Linked DNA regions of Mus musculus: all the other regions are reported to be linked to region 1. The links are microRNA targets in miRTarBase. Many come from high-throughput screens and were not tested one by one. Region 1 holds a microRNA gene; each other region holds the end of a gene's coding sequence.

Region 1 (3,184 bases):
TATTTCTGGTGGCTCTTGATTCAGGAAAAACTGCAAGGAAGCAGATGGTTAACACCAATTTAGAATCCTGGAATCTTAACATTTTCTAAAAATAGTCAAATAAGACTCGACACCTGACAGAAAATGTAAAATTTCAATACTGTCCAACATTAATATTCCAGCCAATTATCAAATTTGGAAAATAACAGTGCAGACAAGGTTAGCTAGTAAAATAGTGATTGGAACCAGCATTGTAGAAAGCCGAGGAAAGGTAAGCTAAATCAGCAAGTAGACATCTTTCCCCTGTAGAATACCGTCCTGAAGTTATTCTCTTACTGTGAGGCAGGTGCAGCAAGAGCAGAGGTGCTTTTCCTCATGGAGAGTGAGTTTAAGTTATTGAGAGGTTTTTCTCATCAAAAACTATAGCCATGAGAAAAGTACATGTTTCATTGGATAAATAGGAGTTAAAATATGTCAGTGATGTGATGTTTAATCTAATTTCTTACTAAACACCAATCACTTTCAATCTCCTAAGAACTTCATGATAGTATTCTCCGTAATTTTATTCTAAGAATTTGAGAAATTTGGACTTATATTTTCTACAGAGAATTTTAGAAGGTTCTGGAAACCCCTCACATTGCGGTGCTTTGCTATTAATTGTGATTCGGATGGAAATTGCTTGATCGTAGTTCCAATTTTGTATATTGAGATAAGGCAATGATCATGGCTTAGAGTCTCAGCTCAGCAGCCTTGAAAAAATGATATCAAAAGCAATGACAGGTATGTATAGAAGCAATGGGATGCTGGCCTGAATATGATAGTGCAGTGGTCAAGCAAGGGAACATGAGCAACATGCATTCTGGTGAAACTGATAACACAGATGGTCCCAGGAAGACTTGCTTTCCTTCCACAAGAGACAGCCCTCTGCAGGAAAGCTATCTCAAAGGAAGCCACACAGGACTATTCAGATTCATCAGTTTTATGTCTTGTAACTATCTGAAGTCTGAATGCATGCCATCAGCAGATCGTTACCTTATCTACCTCAAAATACCAGCCAGAGACACTTGTCCTGTAATCTCTTCGTGTACAAGATAATAAATGATTACAGGTTTAGCATACAATATTCTAAGTAAATAAAATGAATATGTATAAAAATTTGGACTGAATGGTTCACCAATATTTTATTAATAGTTACACACACACACACACACACACACACACACACACACACACACACACACATATATATATATATATATATATATATATATATATATATATATATATACTTATTAAAGCCACTTAAGAGTCTACATAAGTATAATGTAGTAACTTTCTACCCTAGTTTTGAGGAGTACAAAGGGATTTTTGTTTAAGTTGATATTTGAAATCAGTTTTGAAGACATGCTCAATAGAGTTCATACTAACTTGTAAATGCACTTCATTTCAAGAACACCTAGGAAATGGATAGAAGTTACTGCCAGATCCACTCAATCAAAACAAATAACAATATTAGGATATAATAACCAAAGTGAGAGGAGTTGAATTTCAGGCAGTAGGCATAGGTTGTATTAATTTTCATTGTAGTTTAAAGTCTTGTGTCATAAGCAAAGAAAGATGTGCTAAATTGGTTTGATTCCTTGATTGTTTTAAAAATAAGTATGTTTAAAAGAAATTATACTAATTAAAATGCCTATTGTAAAATAAATGCTTATTCCATGCACATTGTAAACATAGAAGTTCAAAATTGTTAGCAATGTAACTTGAGAAAACCTAAGTGGTTTCTGCTTGATTCTGCATGACCTACATGCGTCCTTGCAGTTCTTATTATATACATACCAATATTTAAATTATGAGATACTTAGATACTATTTGTTTTGCTTTTTGATAGTTCCAATTTTGTTGAATGATAAATTCTCCCTGTCTTTAACAGCCTGTAACTAAGCTCCCCCCAAAAGGACTTTTCTTCCCTTTTGAAAAAAAAAAATCCGATTCTTTTCTTTGACACAGCACAAAGTGGAGGTTTGCCAAGCTCTGGGCTGGAGGAATCCTGCTTCTTTTCTTCTGTACTCTTTTGAAATGGTTTAAAATGTGTGACAGGTTTGGTTAAAGGATTGGGCTTTCCTCTGCCTCCCTCCTGCTCCAGACTCCCACAGATACTGTTTAAATCAGCACATCTCTGCCTCACAGGTTGCTTCAGTGAACATTCAACGCTGTCGGTGAGTTTGGAATTCAAATAAAAACCATCGACCGTTGATTGTACCCTATAGCTAACCATCATCTACTCCATGGCCCTCTGCGTTTGCTGAAGACAGAACCGCAAAGCAGGACCCGACAGGATTCTCCCCGCCTCTTCAGAGACTATGTTTACAAAGGTCACAATCAACATTCATTGCTGTCGGTGGGTTGAACTGTGTAGAAAAGCTCACTGAACAATGAATGCAACTGTGGCCCCGCTTTTTGCTGTCGCAATCAACAGACGTTCCCTCCCTAATAGAGGTCCTGGGGGTATTAACGCCGTTTCTCGGTTTAACTTCTGCTGTCTGAACTTTCAGGTTTGTTTATTCAATTCATATCAAGTCCTATTTCTGTGAGGAAGTCACTAATTTATATAAGAATACTGCTTTTCTATACTCCTGGGGGTTACAAATGGGGCATTTCTTAAAAATGCTAAAGTGTTGGATGCCCAGAATCAACTGTGTAGCCCTGGGTTGGCACGGCTTCCTGCTCTGCTGTGCTGGTGGGAGGAAGAACCAAAGAAATATCTTACTTCCTGCCCCGTTATCCGTCACATTGTTACACAGAAAATAACCATCCCCTCATCTTTCATTAGATTTCTTGGTCAAAATGGGCTTGAAGCAAGAGGGAATTCTTTTGCTCTGCATAAAGAATCGCTGAAATGGCTCTACTCTCTATGGAATTGGTAGGCAGAGGGATAGTACCTCAATAGCCAAGTACTTTGTTATCCAGGGGCTCATTATAATCATGCAATAGATTTGTTTCCCCAGAGAGACCTCAGATTTAAGATTATAGTTCATCATCTTTATTTACCCTCTACTTTCTTCTGAAATGGTAGACTTGATTCCAGGGACTGTCTTCAAGCAAGTGTGTGTGTGTGTGTGTGTGTGTGTGTGTGTGTGTGTGTGTGTGTGTGTTTCCTAACTAGTTTGGCTCTATAATTTCAAAAAGAACATCTGTCATTAAG
Region 2 (3,184 bases), not on the chromosome of region 1:
TCAACAAATTTTACAAGATAGCGCTCTTTGTACAAAAGGCCAATATCCAATATCGCTGTTATAAGCAGAGAAACTTTGTTCTTTACAGTTAAACATCAATATCCCCACCCTTTTCTATTAAAAAAGAAACTGATGAAGTTAACACAGCAAAACCTTTTATCCGTAAATAAGACTTTGTTGACTAAACGTGAGAAATACAAGTAGCAAGAGGTGTCTTTCACGATGATAATATTTTTATTGTATAATTAGCTAGTGGTTTAGTTTCTCAAGTTGCTATTGCTGTGAAACACATGTAAAGCTCTCAGAAGGGTCTCCTTAGGCCTGTAACTTGCAGGACATACAGAGGACAGTGGAGAAGCAGAATCATGCTTCCCCTGACTCCTAACACATCTACACCCCTGCAGCCATAGCCAAGGGCCTGATTTGTGAGTTCTAGCTACGTTGTCTGCCTAATGGGGCGATCATGCAAGCGACAACAAGAGACAAAGAAACCAGCATCCCTACCAGAGAACCTAACTTCTCCGAAGCAGCATAGCTTGCAAATCTATCAAACTAAACTGCAAGAAAGACAATCTGATTTAGAGAAAAGGCGTTCTGCCACAGTCATTAAGCACAAGTAATTTAGATTTTTTATATTGTCTCCTCATTTACAAATTTACTGTATCAACGCCAGCCAATGGAACGAATTTCTTAAGTAAATGAGAAATAAATAAAAGAGATAGAAAGATAATCACATTACATAAAATAATTCTCTTTTCTAGATGTATTTTTGAGAGAACTAATGACAGTAGCAAAATTATAGAATAATAATATATCATAGGAAGTAATTAATTTAAATTAGCATCACGTTTGAAAAAATATAAGTGAAACGCTTTATGGACATTTACTTTTGTACAAAGATGGAAGGCCTGGAAAAGCATGCATCGGCATCCTGAAAATTAGTTATGGCCATAATGGTTTAATTGAAGACAGCAATTTAAAATATAATATTGTAAATCTACAATCCAGTTTCAGATCAGGGGATTTAATTGGGGGGGCAGCTGAACCCTTGAATGACTGTAAGTTCATTTGCAAGGCTACAGAAAGAGCCCCCGAGCTTCTCACAATTCGCTTACATTAATATTGATGTTGCCTGTGCAATCTATTTCCGTTATTTTTATGGTTGTTATTCTATGTCTGCAAAGGTCATTTAAATTATACTGAGGCCGAAAATTTGTTTCATAAATTTTGATATAAATACTAATTACACCCTCTCGGAGAGCCAGCAGGGTAGCGTTCATTTATCAAGTTTATATGACCAGCAATGACAGAGAAGAAGGCAAGAGAGGCTGGAGAGCTTTCCCAAGATCCACTAAAGCTGGCACAGGTTGCTGGGGGAAGGGAGCGTGACGAAGAAATTCCTACCACAATCACTGAGATTTAAGAATCTTTAATAACGTACGAAAGGTTACCAAACAGTTCTGGAAACTAAAGTGTACATACGAGTTTTTTTTTTTTTTTTACTAGCCATAAATATTGAATAGCTGTAACATGAATAAACCAGACCCTTTACATGCGGATAAATATGGAAACTAGGAATTATATACATTGTGTGGTTGTATATTTTGCCAAAAGCAATGGACAGCTATAGTTTATATCTTTTTAATATCACTTTACATAAACAAATGGAACAGTTTGACACGTAGATCCAGGCTCGTACTATACGAATTCTTGACAGGACATGAAACAACATTTTACTGCACTAAAGTACTCAGACTTTGGGACGAAATGTTTGCACTTTATACAAAAAAAAGCACATTAATATCAATAATATTCTGTTAGGTCGACGTGGAGACTGTAATCGTACAAAGTAGTTCACATTTTGGTACACATTTACTAGAACATTCTTGCCATTCAGTACAAACAGTTGGCTTTCGGCCGCCCCTCCCCTCCCCCTCCCCCTCCCTCTGGCCCTCCCCTCCCCAAGGCAAAGACCACCACGCCACGATCCCACCCACCCACTCCAACCGAAGTGTAGCTATATACAGAATCCAACAGAACAGATTTAAGCTAATAATTCTGTATTTACAAGAAAACAAAACAAAAAGATAAAGAAAAGCTGAAGCCCCAGAGAGCTTGTTCTGATCCAACAAGAAATTGGCCCTGGGGCCTTTGGCGGTGTTCGGTCAGGCAGCCGCCTTCTCTTCCACCCCCTTCCGCCCTTCAGCTACCAAACCTTTTCAGAGGTGGGTGGGGGAAGGAAAAATTTGGAGTGAAAAAACCTAAAGGCTTGCTGCCTCCTCTGTTTTACTCAGTCCTGGATTTACCGGCAGATTTAAAAACAAAATCAAACAAACAACAACAACAACAAAAATAAAAATAAAAACGTTTGCGGGATCGGGACGAGGGGTGTCTCGAGTTTCAGGATTCTTTCAATAATACGGCGTATATACGTGTGTGTTCAGTCTCTTAAATAGGGGGTCGGCATGTTTTGTTTCTGATTTTAAACGTACCATTCGTTAAAATTGGAAGAGAGCGCGCTGTGGCCGGCTGTGTGGTGAACCGCGGAGGAGGAGGGCGACATGGAGCTGGTGGTCGGGTTGTCTGTTGTGGGAGACACGATGGTGGGTGGCGTGGACGACTCATACCCCGAGCTGGCGGCGGGCGAAGGCTGTGAGCCCTGAGAAGAGGACTCATGGACCTGAGAGAATAAAGTTGCGTTTTAATGAAGATAAAGAGTGGGCCCAGCAGCTACCCAAGGCTATGAAAGCTGTGCTCCCCCTCCCTTCGCCCGGGCACCCCCTCCCCTACCCCTCCCCGCTTCTTTCAAAGCCAGGGATCTCCCAGACTCTCCGCAGGCAGGGCCAATGGGACTTGGGCTTGGTTCTCCCGGCGTAGCCCAGCACCGCCACGCTCCAGGAGGGGACTCTGCCCTACAGTACTCACAAAAGAAAAAGAGGAGGGGGGCTGGGAAGGAGGAGGCTGCTTTTGAGGCCAGAGGCTAGGAAAGTTCCCTTCCTAAAGTTTGCCTGCCCACTTTGAGGAGAGCGGATTTTGAGAGCTGAGCCCAAGACCGCAGCATCTCGCCCGCCTGCTCCTGACTACCAGGAGCGATGGCCGCGTTCACCGCAGCAGCTCTGACAGCGGGGCCTCGGAGTCACCTCACTTATTTTTACTTTCATTATGAAACAGTGAGTTTAATTGG
Region 3 (3,184 bases), not on the chromosome of region 1:
TAGCAAGATTGAAATGTAGGCATGGCAACACCTTGCCTTGCCTTACCATCCCTTTTCACCGTGGAGACAGTCCCTCCAGCAGTGGAAGGGAATGGGCAGTCTGAGCCCTGCCTCCTGGGTCAAGCTGACTCTGCAGCTGCTTGAGAAGTAAGTACCATGTAGCTGTTGAACATGGAGGCCCTGTGGTTTTATCTCCAGTCCAGAACCTTGCTAGAATTCTTAGGATGTTTTGGGCTCATCCTACCCTGTTGGATGATCTTCCCAACAGGGTTCAAGTAGCCAGTGCAAGCACAAAACCTGAGTTCTATGTAAACAGCAAATCTGGAATTTTTTCAGGCACATACTACTGATCCCTAAAGGTGCAAACTATCAGGAGCCGCTGTATCTGAACATCATGCAGACTTGGGAAACGAGCCTGTGAGATAAAAAGCAGTGTCTCTCAGACGAAAAGAAAAAAGTTTCTTTAGCCTGTACTACTTATCTTTATCTGGTGGTAAACAGCATTTTACTCCTTAATGGAGTTAGGAATCCTGAGGATTATTTTCCTGAGGATTTTGCAAAAACTCATGATCTACAAAGAGAACCCTAGTTCTAGACTCAGAAGTACATACACCTCTCTACCAACAAAACCATACACCTAGGCAAGCCAAAATGCTCCATTATGTGGGCACTAAATCCCTTTTACTAATAGTGAAAAGTTAGGATTGAGATACCTACAGTTAATGAGTTGAAACTGGAAGATGCTGAGAGCAGAATGATAGGCCTTTCTGGAACTTATCCTTTATATAAATGTAATGGAGAAAGGCACACACATACCACAGCTTTCTTCACAGGTGTTACAATTGTTAAGTATATTGTTTCATGACAGCACAACCAAGATAATGAAATGCCCTGTGATGGTTCAGAACAAAGTAGACCCATACTGGCCATTCTGAAACAATATGTTCTTGGCAAATAATGTAAGGAAACCCAAGAGGGCAGATGTGTAGCTGGGTGCCCAAGATAAATATTCTGATCTCCAGGGAAAACTTAGGGATCAGGTAGAAGAGAGTCCTTTTTTCATGTTCAGGCTTTTGTAGTATTTAAATTCTTACCACGTCCACCCACTGTTACTTAGCATCTTAAACCCCACACTTCTCCCTTAGAGCCAGTGAATGCCTTATCATCAAAATGTTCCAGGTCAGCTATTCCATGATGTTCCCAGGAAAGACCCAACACTCAGAAAAGTTGAGGCTGGATTAGTTAAATCTGGAAAAGTTAAAGCTAAAACGAACGGTGGAGCTGTAACAGAATGAAGAGAAAAGTCTTGTGATTCACGTAAGAATGTACTGAACGCAGGAGTCTCACCAGTAGAAATTTATAGTAACACATTTTGATTACATGTGTAAGTAAAAAAAAAAAAAAATCAAAATGAGTATTACCTGCCAATAAAAATGCAGGGCCAAATTCCTTTTAAACAGTGGGTTTATGGAAAAAAATGGATCATACTCTGCCTGGATAGGGTCAACAGAAAGTTGGATGGGGGCAGCCGTGGGGGTAAGTGCACCAACTTAAAACCCATCTATTGGAGAATGTTCCAGAGAAGAACTTCTGAATGCTATCCCCCCTAAACAACCTGATGGCAGAACTCAAGCAGGCACTTCCAGCCATATGTGCACAGTTCCCTCACCAACACTTCCCCATCTTCTGCAGAGACCCCAGGACACAAGGTGGCAGCCTTGCCTTGATGGATACAAATCCCAAGGTGGTTTGGATCAAGAGTACAAAATCAGTCTTGAACAGGAGTGTGAAGAGTTGGGACTGGAACCAGAATTCTTCCGACAGCCATCAGATGAAGCTCGTGCCTTTCTGGCTCTGAGTGGTTGTCTGAAGCACATGGTCTGTCCTCCTCACCTCCAGAGCATGGGAGGTGCAGGGCTCTCTGGAGCCCAGAGAGTACATAGTAGAAAAGCAGCAGCAAAGGCTCTCCAGGAACTAGCACCACTGTGGAAGCCTTCTCCTCCAGAGAGCTTTCACACCTGCACACCCTGAGAATCTTTGGAGTTCAACATTCAGAGTGCTATCCAGCCCAGGGATCTGACCGGTCAGAGCTGTCTATGCTTGAGCTTGGATAGTGTGGTTGACTCAGGAAATGGCTCCTCCAGTAACAAAGTAGGTGGCATATTGGGAAATTTGAGCCTTAAGAAACATCTCCAAGCTGTCTGGATACTGTCACATCCAAGATGACTGACAGCTGCTCAGGCAGCCTACAGACCTTCACAGCCCTGTCTGGACACCAGGAGATCTGTTACAGGGAGTGTCTTTCTGATACTGGGCCTGTTTTGATCACCCCTTGAGGGTCTTGCAGAGCTGAGTCCCTGGGGCCATGTATCTTTCATATCCCATTGTTGATGTCCTTAGAGCCTCTCCAACTTCAGGATGGTGCTTTCTTCATCCTATGTTGAGGTGCCAGGAGCTGAATGGTTCAGACTCTGTGCCCTTTCAAGAGTCACACAAAAAAAAGTACGGTCTCACAGCAGGCATTAACATCTTCTCTTTTAAAAAATAAATATTTATGTAAACTTAGGGAAGAAGATTCAAAGAATCTCCTTCCCAAAGCACAAATGTCTCACATGACTCAAACCAAGATCAAGTCCACCAAGTCACAAATGAACTCCCCTCCCCGAAGCTGCTGTGTTGAGGGCAGGTATGAGCAGGAGTTAGCCTCCCGGCTCCTCAGTCCCCTTTGGTGATGAGGTCCTCAATGTAAGCATCCAGCTCATCATCTGTGTTGATGTCTATGTCCTGGAACAGAGTGGGTGGGAGTCAGATGGGGCAGGAACACAGGCTGGAGAATGGGCCTGAGCCAGCTGTCAGCTTCTGTTTCTTGCTCCTGCCCTACTTCCAAATTTCAGTTAAATCTGCATGCCCAAAAAAGGATGGGAGCTTTCTTATAGGTTTCCTGGTTCTAACCCGTACATCTTCAAACTGATTAGTGTCTTATACTAAAAGTTGGACAATGCCACATCAAACCACATATGTAGAGGTCTCTAACCTCTCCTACTGCCTACAACTTCCTATTACAGCTTAGTGAGCTCCCAGTCTCAGTACAAGTATCTCTACCCTGAGAACCCTAGGCAAGTAGCTTCCCCCAGGATTCCATCTCTCATTATTTATTTCAGTACTACCCCATTCATAGCTCCAG
Region 4 (3,184 bases), not on the chromosome of region 1:
AGGCTCAACCACATGTGTCTTTGTCCCAAAGACATGTGTACAAACCCAAGAAAGGCTAGTCTATTTAGTAACTTAAATTCTTTCTCTGTAAAATGCAAGCTGACTGAGTGTATTATCTATAGTTTTCCATACAGAGAAACACACTGTGTAATTAGCTTAAATTTTATGAAATGTGGATTCAAAATTCTGTTGATAAACATGGGCTCAAATTAGCTTTTTAGTTTTGCAAAAATTAGTCCTTATTCATGTTCACATTGTAATTTGTGAAAGGGGCATAAGATGAAACTGAATGGTACATTTGGTTCTGAAGTGACTTAGCTGGGGTAGTTAACTAACACCCCTTTCCTTGGGCTGCCCACACTTCCATCTGCATTTACAGATTCATTCCCTATGTAGTATTATTTACTTGCAAATGATAAGTATTAAATGAAAACCAGGAGATTCTATGCACTTTTGCCAATTAAAATTTATGTGATGTGACAAATTCAGAATGTTTATCTCTTTTCCCTTACCAGCCACAGAATCCCTCTAGGATTGAATACAGGACACCAAGTAGCAGTAAGAAATCAAATGAAATCAGAACCTCCCTATGACTTCTGCATTTAGCACTACTTATATATTTAAAGACAAGCATGGCACCGCATGCATTAGTAATAGTATATGACACAGGGGTATAACCCTTCCACACAGTCTTAGCACTGGTTCAACACTTTACAAAATGCATGTGAAACCAGTGTGGAATTACACAACTTTAAGAATGATCTTCCTATTCACAAGAAAGCTATCAGCATAGTTAAACAAGGACATTGAAACTGTTGGATGTTGTAAATAGATTATCGGAGATTGTCTCAAATAGGCCATAGGTTCACAACTTTGAGTCTATCAATAGGTAGATTTGTTTCAATTTTAGCTAGCCTCCAATGACTTAGATCAAAGCAAGGCCTCTCATATTGAATGTATTTACTGTTCTATATCCAGAAAGGCATACTTAACAGTGCTTGTTTTTCTGGAAAACATCCAGTTGGGGACTAAATGAGATTCATATATTCCCAGTCAGTAATGAAAGCACTCTATGGGAAGATATAGGCAGACTTCCTTGTCTACCTTGTCTGTAACTACAGACTCAGGTCGAGTTCCTACCGTACCCAGGTCTGCCTGTTGAAACACCTCTACCTACTTAACCTGGAACTGTAGCTATGCTAGTGCTCCAGGACACTTAGAGGCTCTTCTGTTGAGAAAGTCTTCTTTCATCTGTTATTTGCCTCCTATGATGCACCAGGTGAACCTTGGGCATCTAACTGGATCCTCATTTATTACCAAAGATAGTTGGTTTCATAATACTGACCAGAGAGGGTTATACAGGCCACAGAAACTCCCCATACAAGAATTGTGATGTCAAAACACAGCGTAGACCATCAACAGCATCAGTAAAAGTGTAGTTGGGTGATAATTTTTATATCTGAATGCAATTCACACAAATTATTAGTAAAATTTTACAAACATTAAAAAGTGCATAACAACATTTGGGTATGAAAGGGCTGAGAGGGGCCACAGCACAAGGGCTTTACTTTTGAGATGGGTGCCCACAGGCTTTGAGGAAAACACTTCCTTCACAAGTTGTCCTCCTGCGTTAAACAGTGGCACCCAGCAGTGTGAGAAAAGTGATCCTCACAGCACAACATTTCTAGCTCTTTGCATTATCTGGCATTCTTTGTTTATTTTGTTGATTCTTAAAAAAATTCTTATAATGAAAAATTAAAGTATCAGTTGAAAGTACTTATTTGGAAATAAAATCAATATTGAAAGACAGAACGCTGGTCTGTGTAGATACTAAGACTGAACTCAGGCAATATTCACATTCATGGATATTTCCACATGCCTGTATAATAAAGCAAAGTGGGCTCAGTGAGTCTAGTGGATGTAACCCTCGGCAGTTATCAAGAGGAAAGTTGTGTTTTACAAAAGAAGGTTCTGCCCTGTTCACGCCACAACACTATGGGAAATTAAAAAGGCAGCCCTTTAAAAAATGAGCGGTATAAAAATTCACAGTCATGTACATCATTTTGTTTTATGTAAGCAATCAAAGGGCAGTGCAGAGCAGGTGTACTGTACGATACAAAACGGCGTAAGTAACAGCACTCACACACAGGGACATAATGCTAACTGTGCTCTCTGGATGGTTCTTTTTGTGAGTCAATACTCCAGCCAGAGATACTGAAACTCTGGGGTTCAACCAACTCTTTTCAATTAGACACAATTAAATCCTCTGACATCATGAGGGGCCAGATGCCACAGGAATCATCAGCTAGGCAGTGCTACTCTCTACAAGCATTTCATTATACGGTCAAGTGGAAGGACCCATACACGAAGGAGATCCAAGCACAGCCCAGGTGATTTCAACCATTGCTAATGACAGAGGTGGGGAAAAGGCTGTGTGCAGACACAGGCTCCATCCCCACTTGTGACATGGCAACCAACAGTGTCTTGCTGTGCAGCGCAGCCATTTTCTTCCCCTCCGTTTCACCCGTGGCTGCGAATACATCCGAGCATCGCCAGGATATTTGCCACATTGTCAGATGTTGATGACCGTCAGAATGGAGTGTTAGCTTTCAGACTTGGCTGCTTCTCCCTGGGCTTCTCCACTTTGTTCGGTGGAGCTTCTCTGTCCATCATCTTCACCTTCTATAAGAGACAATGAGAAGTGAGAGCAAAGAAAAGCTCATGGTTCCTGTCTCTCAGAATGCTGGAGACTTCAAAGTCTGAAATGGTTATAGAGAAGTGGGTTTTCTTAGAAGTGTACAATAAACAAAACTGTATATGTGTTCAGAGCCCGGCACTTTATGAGACATCAGAATGAAAGTCAAAAATAAATGACCTGTGAAATGTCTAGAGTTGTTAATGGTGAACTACGCTTCTGGTGAAGGAAATCTCATGGCCACACTCATCACTCTTAAATGTGGTTTTACAATCTACAGAAACCGAGTTGGCATTGTGCCCCAACTCTAATGTGAAGAAACATTTAAAATTTCCTTTTTCCATTATTTATAGAACTTTAGGATAATACACCTGATTTCTAAAAATTCTATTAATTTATAATTGATATTAACAACAGAAGGTACATGGATTTTTTTTTTTTTTTGATATTTGGTCAGTCTCTTGTCCAACAGTTTGCTGGTCTCTGATA

Evidence for each region. Region 1 holds the annotated microRNA mmu-miR-181a-5p (AACAUUCAACGCUGUCGGUGAGU, at 2,182-2,204, shown strand). A microRNA usually pairs through its seed, bases 2 to 8, with sites in the 3' UTR of a target mRNA and lowers its output. Matches are read on the target gene's strand: a 7mer-m8 pairs with bases 2 to 8, a 7mer-A1 pairs with bases 2 to 7 and ends in A, and an 8mer does both.
Region 2: the mRNA of Zic1 is a reported target of mmu-miR-181a-5p. The part of its 3' UTR that is shown has no 7-base or 8-base seed match.
Region 3: the mRNA of Morc2a is a reported target of mmu-miR-181a-5p. Seed matches in the 3' UTR shown: 7mer-m8 at 2,048-2,054.
Region 4: the mRNA of Pkia is a reported target of mmu-miR-181a-5p. Seed matches in the 3' UTR shown: 7mer-m8 at 1,856-1,862.

What each region holds. Positions count from the first base shown.
Region 1 is chr1:137,964,287-137,967,470 of GRCm38, forward strand. It overlaps Mir181a-1 (microRNA 181a-1), which reads left to right and starts at 2,169; the gene lies at 2,169-2,255. Mir181b-1 (microRNA 181b-1) reads left to right here and starts at 2,353; the gene lies at 2,353-2,432.
Region 2 is chr9:91,359,087-91,362,270 of GRCm38, forward strand. Zic1 (zinc finger protein of the cerebellum 1) reads right to left here. Exons shown (of 3, transcript NM_009573.4): 3 at 1-2,680. The coding sequence ends at 2,483. Among named protein-coding and RNA genes, the nearest start is that of Zic1, 5.1 kb to the right of the region's middle.
Region 3 is chr11:3,688,635-3,691,818 of GRCm38, reverse strand. It overlaps Morc2a (microrchidia 2A), which reads right to left. Exons shown (of 27, transcript NM_001159288.2): 27 at 1,342-2,784. The coding sequence ends at 2,716. Among named protein-coding and RNA genes, the nearest start is that of Morc2a, 41 kb to the right of the region's middle.
Region 4 is chr3:7,441,509-7,444,692 of GRCm38, reverse strand. Pkia (protein kinase inhibitor, alpha) reads right to left here. Exons shown (of 3, transcript NM_008862.3): 3 at 1-2,682. The coding sequence ends at 2,603. Among named protein-coding and RNA genes, the nearest start is that of Zc2hc1a, 60 kb to the left of the region's middle.